Stegostoma tigrinum: one gene and its partner. The protein of the gene in region 2 interacts with the protein of the main gene of each other region in a pairwise test. Links are inferred from orthologs where the notes say so. Each region holds a gene or a part of one and is shown on either strand. Other genes may lie near its edges.

Evidence for each region. The genes of interacting proteins can lie anywhere in the genome.
Region 1: the proteins of dusp12 (region 2) and ppp2r3b interact in binary tests that used the Homo sapiens proteins (3 or more experiments, as listed by UniProt). The two-hybrid records come from large-scale screens. The link is inferred for Stegostoma tigrinum from reciprocal best matches to the Homo sapiens genes DUSP12 and PPP2R3B.

Annotation. Positions count from the first base shown.
Region 1 is NC_081359.1:98,680,015-98,686,930, forward strand, and holds the start of ppp2r3b (serine/threonine-protein phosphatase 2A regulatory subunit B'' subunit beta), read right to left. Parts: upstream 3,006-6,916; 5' UTR 2,939-3,005; intron 1-2,938. UniProt on the Homo sapiens protein: The B regulatory subunit might modulate substrate selectivity and catalytic activity, and might also direct the localization of the catalytic enzyme to a particular subcellular compartment.
Region 2 is NC_081361.1:42,796,988-42,804,169, forward strand, and holds the start of dusp12 (dual specificity protein phosphatase 12), read right to left. Parts: upstream 3,015-7,182; 5' UTR 2,984-3,014; coding exon 2,658-2,983; intron 1-2,657. UniProt on the Homo sapiens protein: Dual specificity phosphatase; can dephosphorylate both phosphotyrosine and phosphoserine or phosphothreonine residues. Can dephosphorylate glucokinase (in vitro).

The DNA.
Region 1 (6,916 bases), on a different chromosome or scaffold from region 2:
GTCTTGAGGCTGTTTTCATTAGAGAGAAGAAGGTTGAGAGGTGACTTAATTGAGACATGTAAGATAATCAGAGGGTTAGATGGGGTGGATAGGGAGAGCCTTTTTCCTAGGATGGTGACGGCGAGCACAAGGGAGCATAGCTTTAAATTGAGGGGTGAAAGATATAGGACAGGTGTCAGAGGTAGTTTCTTTACTCAGAGAGTAGTAAGGGAATGGAACGCTTTGCCTGCAACGGCAGTAGATTCGCCAACTTTAAGTACATTTAAGTCATCATTGGATAAGCATATGGACGTACATGAAATAGTGTAGGTTAGACGGGCTTCAGATCGGTATGACAGGTCAGCACAACATCGAGGGCCGAAGGGCCTGTACTGTGCTGTAATGTTCTATGTTCTTAAATAAACTTGACGTCCTCAAGAGATAAAGGAAGAGTAACTTCCCATAACTTTAAGACAGCATTTAACTGAAGTATCTTGTACTCATTAGAGTTTAGAAAAATGCAAGATGGCCTCACTGAAATGCAAGATTCTTGACAGGCTTGACAGGGTAGTTGTGGAGAGGTTGTTTCCCCTTGTGGGAAGAGTCCAGACCAGAAGATATAATCTGAGAAAGGGGTCACCCATTTTGGGCAGCAGTAAGGAGTATCTTTTCCCACTTCTCAAAGATTGGGCAATCTGTGAAATTCTTTACTTCAGAGGGCAGTCAGGGCTGGGTTGTTAAGTATATCCGGGGCTGGGTCATTAAATACATTCAAAGCTGAGATAGGCAGTTTTTTTAAACAGCAAGGACATCCTGTGTTATGGGGGAAAGGTAGGAAAGTGGAACACACGGCTATTTGATCAAGTATGAGCCCATCAAATGGCACAGAAGACTCAATAGCCTGAATATCCTATTTCTGCTCTCATGAGTGCAATTCTAACAAGGAGCTCAACACCATCCAGAACCAAGTGGTCTTCGTAGTAAGCACCCATCCACCACCCTCAACTTTTACTTCTTATGCAAGTGGCATATAATATATACCATATACAAGCTGCAGCACAGGAACTCTCCTAACACCTTTCAATCCCACGAAATCTGCTGTTAGTTGATCTAGCAAACAGAAACAGAATCCACTATGAGCCTACAAAATGGCTCAAGGGATTGAATGGCCTACTCCTGCTCCTATTAATGATTTTATCATCTATAAGAAGGGCAGCAGATGTACAGGAAAATCCTTGGAATTAAATCACTGGCCCTCAACTGCCTCCCTAATAGCTACATTGATGGACGGGCACGTATACAAGAGGCTGCCAGGGAAGAGGAGGAAATGGGTACAATAACATTTAGAAGGATATGTATATGAATAGGAAGGAATGAGGGGGAGAGAGATGATGGGAACTGCAGATGCTGAAGAATCGGAGACAATGAAGTGTGGAGCTGGATGAACACAGAAGGCCAAGCAGCATCTTAGGAGCACAAAAGCTGGCATTTCGGGCCTAGACCTTTCATCAGAGAACAAAAAGTGAGGGAAATATGGGCCAAATGCTGGCAAATGGAACTAGGTCAGATTGTGATTTCTGGTCAGCATGGGTTGGACTAAACAATCTGTTTCCAAGCTGTATACCTCTGCATCTGCTTTGTGGTCCACCTAGAGCAATGGGACTGCAGCAGTTCAAGAAAATGGCTTGTCACCTCGTTGTAAAGGGCAATAAATGATGGTCAATAAATGCTAGACCATCCAGTAGTGCCCACATCTCATAAAGGAGTTATATTATAAAGGCTCTTTACAATTTCAAATTGGTGGATTCACCCAAATATCAATTATATCAACATTACATCAAGACATAATTTTACAAAAACCAACAGTTACACTTTTATGCAAAACACATACACGGCAACCAAAACAAAATAAAATCTTCAACATGGATATGCAAGGCAGTCGTTTTAAAATCATGAGGTACAAGTAAACCCTCAACTAATTCAGGGCAAAATAAGATGGAAATTCATGGACTAGGCACAGTATAGAGGGACGGGGGGGTAGTTTTTTTTGTAAAGTCAAAAAGCTATAGAAATCATCCCTAAAATCAGAGTCTTGCTTCAAATAAAATACTTGATTTGCTAAAAACGACTTCCTTCATCCTATAAAAATCCCTTTTTAAAAGAATGCTGCCAGGGTTCTTGTGGTGCAATGGCAGTGTCCCTATCTCTGCACAAGGAGGCTGGGGTTCAAGACCACAAAGTGTGGAGCTGGATGAACACAACAGGCCAAGCACCATCTCAGGAGCACAAAAGCTGACGTTTCAGGCCTAGACCCTTCATCAGAGAGGGGGATGGGGAGAGGGAACTGGAATAAATAGGGAGAGAGGGGGAGGCAGACCAAAGATGGAGAGAAAACAAGATAGGTGGAGAGGAGAGTATAGGTGGGGAGGTAGGGAGGGGATAGGTCAAGGAGGTGGGATGAGGCTAGTAGGTAGGAAATGGAGGTGCGGCTTGAGGTGGGAGGAAGGGATAGGTGAGAGGAAGAACTGGTTAGGGAGGCAGAGACAGGCTGGACTGGTTTTGGGATGCAGTGGGTGGAGGGGACGAACTGGGCTGGTTTTGGGATGCAGTGGGGGAAGGGGAGATTTTGAAGCTTGTGAAGCCCACGTTGATACCACTGGGCTGCAGCGTTCCCAAGCGAAATATGAGTTGCTGTCATAACAGTTCTGAAGAGGTGGATTAGAAAACAAAACGTAAAATCAACATGGTTCTGACTGAAGTGCAAACATGATACGAAAGGGAGGAGGCGTAGAAAAGGGGGCTGGCCTATGTGGGGGAACTGAAGCCTGGCGTTTGGTTGCCATGCCATCCAGCCCTCAGCTGCTACTGCAGGCCGCTCTGTGGAATGGCACACGGCAACGGGAATAGGAGGGTACTCTAATGTAACTCAACACCGAGAGCTACGGCACATTCACCTTACCTGTTGCTCTCGCCTTCCTACCCCAAAGGCCTGTCAGCCAGCTTCTCACGCCTCTTGTTTCCCCCCGCCCCCGCTTCAGCCCCTCCCACCCCCAGACCGCACAACGGGTCTCGCGTGAACAGCGCCTCCGCCCCGCTACCCCCTTCCAAATCGCGCGCGCCTCGGTCACCCCGGCAACGCGAGGATCTCCCGCCTTTGCAGAAATGATACACGCCTTGTTGTGGCACGTGGCAAGAGCCCGGGACATTCAGGGTGCCACCTTGCTCCAGGTTATCAGCACGTCTTCCATGAAGGGGGCTCTTTTTTATTGCCATGTCTTCCAATCTCGCTGCATGTGCACATATCACACAATTTCAGGACTTGCACCGTTTCTGGACCTTCTTGAGTGGTTCGGTTAAGTCTGTTGGTTGGATGGTCGGAGATAACAAAGTGTATGAAGCTGGATGAACACAGCCGGCCGAGCAGCATCAGAGGAGCAGGAAAGCTGACGTTTCGGGTCTGGCCCCTTCTTCAGAATTGGGGGAGGGGAAGGGGAAGAAATAAATAGGGAGGGGTGGGAGGCGGATTGATGGATAAAGGAGAAGATAGGTGGAGAGGAGACAGAAGTCAAAAGGCAGGGATGGATCCAGTAAAGGTGAGTGTAGGTGGGAAGTTAGGGAGAAAATTGGTCAGTCCAGTGAGGACAGACATCAAGGGGGCGGGATGAGGTTAGTAGGTAGGAAATGGAGGTGGGGCTTGAGGTGGGAGGAGGGGATAGGTGGGAAGAAGGACAGGTTAGAGAGGCGGGGACAAGGCTGGACTGGTTTTGGGATGCGGTGGGGGGGTGAGATTTTGAAGCTTGTGAAGTCCACATTGATACCATTGGATGGTTGATTTGTTATGCAGAGCCTAGACTCAACAACCTGCATCACCTCAGATCGCTGTCCTCAACATTTCACCTGTAATGAGAGAGTAGCCCTGATGGCTGTTGTGGACCAGGAGGTCTGGGTTTAAGCCCCACCTGACCCAGAGGTGTGTCATAACATCTCTGAACAGGTTGTTACAAAATATCTGAGAAAGCAGCCCTAAGGTAGCACTGTGTGGAGCTGGAGGAATACAGCAGGCCAGGAAGCATCAGAAGAGCAGGACAGTTGACATCACAACCCTTCTTCAGAAATCTGCTCCTCTGATGCTGCCTGGCCTACTGTGTTCCTCCAGCTCCATACTGTGTTATCTCTGACTCCAGCATTGCAGTTATTACTAGCTCTGAGTGAGAAAGCAGCCCTGTTATCTGGTAGAACTGTGATGACTCTATTTTAGTCTCTAATTAATTTTCTTTCCAAATGCTTAACTCAAGCCTTTTAAGAATCATTCTTTCAAGAATTTCTAAATCATTTTCATCAAATCAGTGATTGCCTGCAACTCAGGAGGCACTCATTCCATGAGACCATAAGCTGTAGAAGCAGAATTAGGTCATTCAGCCCATTAAGTTTGTTTTACCATTCTATGAGATCTTGGCTGATCTGATAATCTTCAACTCCATTCCAGAGAGTGGTGAGCCAATGGAATTCACTGCCACAGAAAACTGCTGAGGCCAAACATTGAATGTGTTCATGAAGAAGATAGTTCTTAGGGCTAAAGGAATCAAATATTATGAGGTGAATGTGGGAAAAGTGTATTGAGCTGAATGATCAGCCATGATTATTTTTAATTGCGGGCAGAATCGAATTTGGCCTATTGAGTCTGCTCCGTCATTCAATGACATCATGGTTGATCTATAATCCTCAATTCTACGTTCCTGCCTTTTCTCTATCTCCCTTGATTCCCTTAGTTTACAAAGTCTGTCTGCTCCAACCTTGGACGTACTTAATGACCCAACTTTGCTAGCCCTCTATGGTAAAGTATTCCACAGATTCATCACCCTATAACGGAAGAAATTCCTCCTTCGTCAAAAATGTGAAAGGAAGAATTCTATATCATTCATGTTCTATATTACAAAATCTGCGTTGCTATATGCATGGTTTATGTTGGCCATCTGAGATGCCTTGGGCAGATTCACTGCCATCAACTCTTTTTATTGCTAATAGTCTACACTTAGTGATTCCACATGGAGAAGACTATTCATTTAAAGCCTTCAGGAGAAGAGAGGCTCTGTCTTGTTGAACAGAATAATTTTAATACATAGTCCTTAATGACTGTTTATATTACTGATGTAATGTGGCACCCTCCTGTGAGACATACATGAGTGTAAGCAGTGTCAGAGATAATGGGAACTGCAGATGCTGGAGAATTCCAAGATAATAAAATGTGAGGCTGGATGAACACAGCAGGCCAAGCAGCATCTCAGGAGCACATGCTGCTTGGCCTGCTGTGCTCATCCAGCCTCACATTTTATTATCTTGGAATAAGCTCTGATGAAGGGTCTAGGCCCGAAACGTCAGCTTTTGTGCTCCTGAGATGCTGCTTGGCCTGCTGTGTTCATCCAGCCTCACATTTTATTATCTTGAGTGTAAGCAGTGTTTCTTCTGAACTGCATGACTGACACATTGATATACATGTTTGGACATTGCAGCTGCGCACAAACTTCAGAGGGCAAAAATCAAGAGGTGTAGCATGTAAGTACACATTAATATTAGCTCACAAGTTAGAAACTGGTTAGCTTGCCACAAGGAGTGGTTCCTTACAGATGATTTTAATCAACCTGTTCAGAACATACCATGACAACCTCTGGAGTAGGTGGGCCTTGATCCCAGGCCTTTTAGCCCAGAGGTAAGGACCTGCCCCTTGTATCTTTTTACCAACTGATTGTAAGATCATCCATAACTATGTGAAGAAAAAAAAACACTTGTAAAGACAAGTGTAGTTTTCATAGAAACCCTACAGTGTGGAAACAGGCCCTTCAGCCCAACAAGTCCACACCGAACCTCATTGCATCTCACCCAGACCCATAATCTACACATCCCTGAACACTGCAGGCAATTTAGCATGGTCAATCCACCTAGCCTGCACATCTTTGGACTGTGGGAGGAAACTGGAGCACCTGGAGAAAACCCACGCAGACACGGGGAGAACGTGCAAACTCCATGCAGACAGTCACCTGAGGGTGGAATCAAATTCAGGGCCCCGGCACTCTGAAGCAGCCACCAATCAGATATAGGGGTTATTATAATAGAAAACAGAGATGGCAGATCAATTAAATAATTATTTTCATTCTGTATTCACAAAGGATAACCCAAAAAATGTCCTTGAACTGTTGGGAAAGACAGTGTAGTGAGACAGAGGAACTGAAGGAAATCAGATGGGAAAATCAGGGTAAATTGATGGGATTGAAAACTGATAAATCTGTAGGGTCCAATAATCTACATCCCAGATTATGTAAGGAAATGACCATAGAAATAGTGGGTGCGTTGGTGATCATCTTTCCAGATTTTGTAGACTTTGGAGGGTAACTAATGTAACCAAACAGTTTTTAAAAGGAGGTAGAAATAAAACAGGGATAGACCAGTTAGCCTGATGTGATTGTAGGGAAATGTCTAAGGCACATTATAAAAGATTTATTAGAAGAGCATTTGGAAAACAGTGACAGAATTGAACAGAGTCAGCATGGATTTATGTAAGGAAAATCATACGTGACAAATCTATTCGAAATTTTCGTGGATGTAACAAGTACTGTTGTAAGGAGTGCCAGGGATTTGTTTTGCTTGGACTTTTAGAAGGCTTTTGATAAGGTCCCACATAAGACGTTACCATGCAAAATTAAAGCGCATGGGATTAGGGGTAATGTACTGACGTAGATTGAGAACTGGTTGGCAAACAAGAAACAAAGAATAGGAATAAAAAGTTTGTATTCCAAATGGCAGCTAGTGACTATTGGTACCACAGGGATCACCGCTTGGACCCTAACTATTCACAATATATGTTAATGATTTAAACGAGGGAGCTAAATGTGACATCTCCAAGTTTGCAGATGAGACAAAGCTGGGTGGGAGGGTGAGCTGC
Region 2 (7,182 bases):
TACTTCCGCATGGTAGACTAATTAGTAAAGTTAGATCACGTAGGATTCGGGGTGAGCTTGCCATTTGGATACATAGTTGGCTTAACAGTAGGAGACAGAGTGTGATGGTGGAAGGTTGCTTTTCAGTGGTGGAGGCCTGTCACCAGCATTGTTCCACCAGAGATCGGTTCGGGGTCCTCATCTGTTTGCCATTTATATTAATCATTTATATGAGAATACAGAAAGCATGGTCAGTAAGTTTGCGGACGTCACCAAAATTGGTGGCATAGCAGTCAGTGAAGGTTTTCTAAGCTTACAAAGGGATGTTGATGAAATGTCAATTGGCTGATGAATGGCAGATGGAGTTCAATCTGAGGCATTGCAGTTTGGTGCAATAAACAAGGGTAGGGCCTTGGATACTGTTGTAAGACAGAGGGACCTAGGGGTTCTTTGAATTTTGTGTCACACATAGACAGGATGGTTAAAAAAAAACATTTGGCATGCTTGCCTTCATTGTTCAGTCCTTTGAGTATAGGATTTGGGAAGTCATGTTGAGGTTGTACACGATATTGGTGAGGCCCCTAAAGGAATACTGTGTCCAGTTCTAGCCACCCAGTTATAGGGAGGATACTATCAAGCTGGAGAGCATTCAGAAGAGATTTACCAGGATGTTGCCAGGTATGGATGGTTTGAGTTATAAAGAAAGGTTGGACAGGCTGAGACTATTTTCACTGGAGCATAGGAGGTTGTGAGGTGACCTTATAGAAGTTTACGAAATAGTTACAGGTATAGTTAGAGTTAAAAGGCAGTTGTCTTTTCCCTAACATGGGGGATTTCAAGATTGGGGACATATTTTTAAGGTGATAGGAGAGATTTAAAAAAGACATGAGCAGCATTTTTTTTCCCACACAGAGGTATGGTTCGTGAGTGGAATGAACTTCCAGAGGAAGTAGTGAATGTGGGTACAATTACAATGTTTAAAAGACATTTGGATAAGTACATGAATAGGAAAGGTTTGGACGTATATGGGCCACGAGCAGGCAGGTGAGACCAGTTTAGTTTGGGATTATGGTTAGCATGGACTGGTAGGACCAAAGGATCGGTTTCTGTGCTGTATGACCCCAATGATGTCCCAACCCCTACACCCAATGTTCTGACCAATGAATGTAATGCCAAACTTACCACCCTGTCTACCGGCAACTCCACTTTCAAGGAATTGTGCACCTGGTCTCTTTATTTGGCAATGCTTGTTGACCATAGAAGGTGCATTTGTAATGTGAGCCAACAGGATTACTATCCATCTCTAAATCCTGATCGCTGTAAATACTGAGGTTCTGAAGATGGGTTACTGGTCCAAAACATTAACTCTGATTTCTTTTTACAGATGCTGCCATAGCTGCTGAGTTTGTCCAGCAATTTCTGTTTTTGTTTCTGATTTCTAGAATCTACAGTTCTTTCAGATTTTTGTTTAGCTGTAAGAGTGGAAAGTTTTCTGGTCAGCCATCCTGCAGGCGCAATGGAAAAGCACAGCAGTACTTTGCACATAAGGGTGGGCGAATTCAATGGAGGTTCTTGGCCCAGCCCTTGCAAAAAGGGACAAAGACAAAGTTGCTGGAAAAGGTCAGCAGGTCTGGCAGCATCTGTGACGAAAAAAAGTTAACGTTTTGGGTTCAGTGACTCTTCCTCAGAATTGAGCAGGAACTCCTGTACAGGTGAGTAAAGCTATAATAATATTAACTTGCAAGCAACATTCTCCCTTAGACATAAACAGATAACGCCAGAGCAATTTGTCAAGTCTGACAGCACCAATGGAGACAGAAACAGAGTTAACGTTTCAAGTCCAGTTTGGCTCTTCTTTACGGGCACAACACTAACTGTTTGCTCTAAGATTTCACACAACAGCCCTCAAAGACCAATTTCAAAATTAAACGCAGAATTCTTAAAAAAAAACAAGTTAAATGCAGTTACTAACTGCAGTTCAAAGTCACACCATGGAGTTAACTTCGAGATATGGGGAACAGTGGACAGACTGGCAACAATCATAGCTCTGGCTCATGTCTAAGATACAACTGACACATGAAATTCAATGGAGGATCAAATACGAAAGATAAACAATAAAAACAAGTTTTTGGAGAAACTCAGCACGTTTGGCAGCATCTACGGAGAGGAAACAGCGACCTTTCACCAGACTCAAAACGTATACTGCTTTCTCTTCACAGATGCTGTTTCTCCACAGACCTACTAATTTTGTTTGTTTCATATCTACAGCATCCACAGTTCCTTGTTTTATTGTCAATGGTGTAAGATAATTTCTTTCCCAACATTTGCGCTGCGTTTATACGTCTGTAAACCTAAAGTAGCTCATGCTTTGCTAGATCATGTTTCACTGGAAAACAAATGAGCTATTTCTAAAACAAAAACAGAAGTTGCCGGAGATAGCAAGAACTGCAGATGCTGGAGTAGGGGATAACACAGCGTGGAGCTGAACGAACACAGGCAGCAACACAGGAGCAGGAAAGCTGACAGTTGGGGTCGGGAATCTTCTTCAGAAAGTTGCTGGAGCAGTGTTGCTTTCGATATTCAATATAAATGTTTAAAAGCTTTCTGCTTCGGCACCTTGCCCTTTATTGACATGTTATTTGCTTTAACTGAGAATTTGTTTCCAGGTATAGACCTGCCTATAGTAGCTGGTAATGGCGAGTGTGAAGAGATACAGGAGCAGTGTGTTTGGTGTCAATGGGAAGCAGTCAATGTACCAATGAACCAGGACAGCAGCTCCTGCTGCAGACAGCGCCTCCTGCACAAACCGCACGCAATCGTCCAGAAAGCTCAGCAGGTCGGCGGCTGCATCGTCCAGCGCCCGCACAAACATCGTCCGCCGGTCACCGAGAGGCGGCGGCTCGTTGGAGTCCACGGTCAGCACATGGGAGATACCGGTGTCCGGGTGGATCGTCGCCGCATCCCCGGACGTCCCGAGAAACAGGCCACACCGCAGCCGAATCATGGCGGCCCACCTGACGCTACCACGCACGGAAACTTCCGGTAGGAGGGGCCAGGCGGCGGTCCGTTAATGTGGGGGGTCACGTGTGAGAAGAGGCGGGGCTGGCCTGGGCACCCTGGGCTGTGAGGGTGGAGATAGCACTAAGTCGAGAACAAGGGCAGACCCATAGCTGGGAAGAGTGCACACTGAATTGCAGAGAAAAGGGACCAGCAGTAGCATGGTAGGCTCTCGGGGGGGGGGGGGTTACAGTGGTGGGGAAAGATAGGGTACAAGGTGAGAAGTGAGTTCAGGGTGATCTGAGAGCATGCCAAAGAGGGTATTGTGAGAGCAGACGTACCACCAATGGAAGTAGAGGCATGGGGGGTAGGCATGAGAAGGCACTGGGGAAAGGAGATAAACGGGGGGAGACCAGCCAGAGGAGATTGGGTGGGTGAGTGAGAGAGCAGATGGGAGGAAAATACAGTATAAGTGGGAAGAGACATTAAATAAACTTTACTTAAGCTGCTTAATTGGCCATAGAAATGTCAGTCAGTGGCATTAAGTGCTGCACTTGTGAGATGTGAGAGATCCATCTGCAGGAAGTGCAACCAATTGCAGCTTCTCACAGAATGTGTGGATATGTTGCAGCAGCAATTGGATGCACGTAGGACCATGAGAATGGCAGAAAGCATCATAGACAGTAGTTTTAGAGATGTGGTAACACCCAAGGTGCAGGCAGGTAGATGGGTGACCAATAGAAGTCGCAGACAGCCAGTGCTGGTATCCCCTGTGGTTGTCCTCCTCTCTAACAAGAATACCATTTTGGATACTGTTGGAGAGGAATGACCTATCAGGGGATAACAACAGTAACAGCCAGACTGGTGGCACCACAGCTGGCTCTGTTCTTAAGGGAAGAACAAAGAGCACTAGATATGGGGGACTGTATAGTTAGGGGTACAGATAGGCATTTCTGTAGATGTAAAAGAGACTCCAGGATGGTCAGTTGCCTCCCTGGTGCCAGGGTCCAGGATGTCTCTGAAGCATTCTGAAGGGAGAGGGTGAACAGCCAGAGGTCGTGGTACATATTGGTACTGACCACATAGGTAGGATGTGTGATGAAGTCTTGCAGCAGCAGTTCAGGGAGTTAGGTAGAAAGTTAAAAAGCAGGACCTCCAAGGTTGTAATCTCCAGATTACTCCCTGTGCCAGGTGCCAGTGAGGCTAGAAATAAGAGGATAGTACAGCTAAACAGATGGTGTACGAGGGAGGGTTTCAGATATGAGTGGGTGTTCAGATAAGTGGGGTATGGATGCTAGAGCAGTTGCTTGCTCTTCCTGCAGAATGTGGCAGGTGGGAGACATGGCACACGTCTCCGCTGGCTACATCTGCGGGAAGTGCACCCAACTCCAGCTCCTTGGAAACCGTGTTAGGGAAATGGAGCTGGAGCTGGATGAACTACGGATCATTCGGGAGGCAGAGGGGGTAATTGAGAGGAGATACCGGGAGTTGGTCACTCCTAAGGCTCAGGACAAGGATAGATGGGTTACAGTTAGGGGGAGGAAAGGGGATAGAGACAGTGCGGAGATCCCCTGTGGGCATTCCCCTCAGCAATAAGTATACCGTTTTGGATACTGCTGGGGGGGATGACCTACCAGAGGAAAGTCATAGTAGTCAGTTCTCTGGCACTGAGCCTGATACTGTGGCAAAGGAGGGAAGGGGGCAGAATAGAAAAGTACTCGTGGTAGGCGACTCGATAGTTAGGGGAATCGACAGGAGATTTTGTGGTCAGGATCAGGATTCCTGGAAGGTATGTTGCCTCCCTGGTGCCAGGGTCCGGGACGTTTCCGATCGGGTGTATAAGGTTCTAAAAGGGGAGGGCGAACAGCCAGAAATCGTGTTACATATTGGCACTAACGATATAGCCAGACAAAGGATTGAGGATATAAAAAGTGATTTCAGGGAGTTAGGATGGAAGCTGCAAAGCAGGACGAACAGAGTAGTGTTCTCTAGTTTACTACCGGTGCCACGAGATAGCGAGGCGAGGAACAGGGAGCAGGCGCAGCTTAACACGTGGCTGCGCAGCTGGTGTAGGAGGGAGGGCTTCAGATATGTAGATAATTGGGATGCCTTCTGGGGAAGGTGGGACCTGTACAAGAAGGACGGGTTGCATCTGAACTGGAAGGGGACCAAAGTCCTGGGTGGAAGGTTTGCTCGAGTAGTTTGAGACGGTTTAAACTAGTATGGCAGGGGGGTGGGTACCGGAGGTGAGAGTTGATGCAGGTGAGGCCATAGCAAGAGGTAGACCAGCTAGTGGGAAGGATTTTCCTGGGAAGGAACCAAGGGATCAGTTAAAGTGTGTTTGCTTTAACGCAAGGAGTATCAGGAATAAAAGTGATGAACTTAGAGCATGGATCAGTACCTGGTGCTATGATATTGTGGCCATAACAGAGACATGGGTTTCTCAGGGGCAGGAATGGTTGCTGGATGTTCCAGGGTTTAGAGCATTTAAAAAGAATAGGGAGGGGGGAAAAAGAGGAGGGGGTGTAGCACTACTAATCAGAGAGGGTATCACAGCTACAGAAGCTTCCATTGTCGAGGAAGATCTGCCTACTGAGTCAGTGTTGGTGGAAATTAGGAACAGCAAGGGAGTAGTCACCTCGTTAGGGGTTTACTACAGGCCCCCCAATAGCAGCAGGGAGATTGAAGAAAGTATAGGTCGGCAGATTTTGGAAAAGTGCGGATGTAGTAGGGTTGTTGTTATGGGTGACTTTAACTTTCCCAATATTGATTGGAACCTCCTTCGAGCAGAAGGTTTGAATGGAGCTGTTTTTGTAAGGTGTGTTCAGGAGGGTTTCCTAACGCAGTACGTTGACAGGCCGACGAGGGGAGAGGCCATTCTAGACTTGGTGCTCGGAAACGAGCCGGGGCAGGTATCAGATCTTGTGGTGGGACAGCATTTTGGTGATAGTGACCATAACTGTCTCACATTCTACATAGCTATGGAGAAGGAGAGGATTAGGCAAAATGGGAGGATATTTAATTGGGGAAGAGGAAACTATGATGCGATTAGACATGAGTTAGGAAGCATGGACTGGGAGAAATTGTTCCATGGTAAAGGCACTATAGACATGTGGAGACTGTTTAAGGAACAGTTGTTGCGAGTGATGAATAAATATGTCCCTCTGAGACAGGCAAGAAGGGGTAAGATAAAGGAACCTTGGATGACGAGAGTGGTGGAGCTTCTTGTGAAAAGGAAGAAGGTAGCTTACATAAGGTGGAGGAAGCTAGGGTCAAGCTGAGCTCTAGAGGATTACAGGCAGGCGAGGAAAGAGCTCCAAAATGGTCTGAGGAGAGCCAGGAGGGGGCACGAGAAAGGCTTGGCAGAACGGATTAGGGAGAACACAAAGGCATTGTACACTTATGTGAGGAATAAGAGAATGGTCAAAGAAAGAGTAGGGCCGATCAGGGATAGCATAGGGAACTTGTGTGTGGAATCTGAGGAGGTAGGGGACGCCCTAAATGAGTTTCTTACTTCTGTCTTTACGAAAGAAACGAACTTTGTAGTGAATGAAACCTTTGAAGAGCAGGTGTGCATGCTGGAATGGATAGAGATAGAAGAAGCTGACGTGCTGAAAATTTTGTCAAACATTAAGATTGACAAGTCGCCAGGCCCGGACCAGATTTGTCCTCGGCTGCTTTTGGAAACGAGAAATGCAGTTGCTTCACCACTTGCGAAGATCTTTGCATCCTCACTCTCCACTGGAGTCGGACCTGAGGACTGGAGAGAGGCAAATGTAATTCCTCTCTTCAAGAAAGGAAATAGGGAAATCCCCGGCAATTACAGACCAGTAAGTCTCACGTCTGTCGTCTGCAAGGTGTTAGAAAGGATTCTGAGGGATAGGATTTATGACCATCTGGAAGAGCATGGCTTGATTAAATGCAGTCAACACGGCTTTGTGAGGGGCCTGTCATGCATCACAAACCTTATCGAGTTCTTTGAGGATGTGCCTAGAAAAGTTGATGAGGGTGGATGTGGTGTATATGGACTTCAGCAAGGCTTTTGATAAGGTTCCCCATGGTACGCTCATTCAGAAGGTCAGGAGGAATGGGATACAGGGATACAGAATTGGCTGGCCAACAGAAGACAGCGAGTGGTAGTAGAAGGAAAATATTCTGCCTGGAAGTCAGTGGTGAGTGGTGTTCCACAGGGCTCTGTCCTTGGGC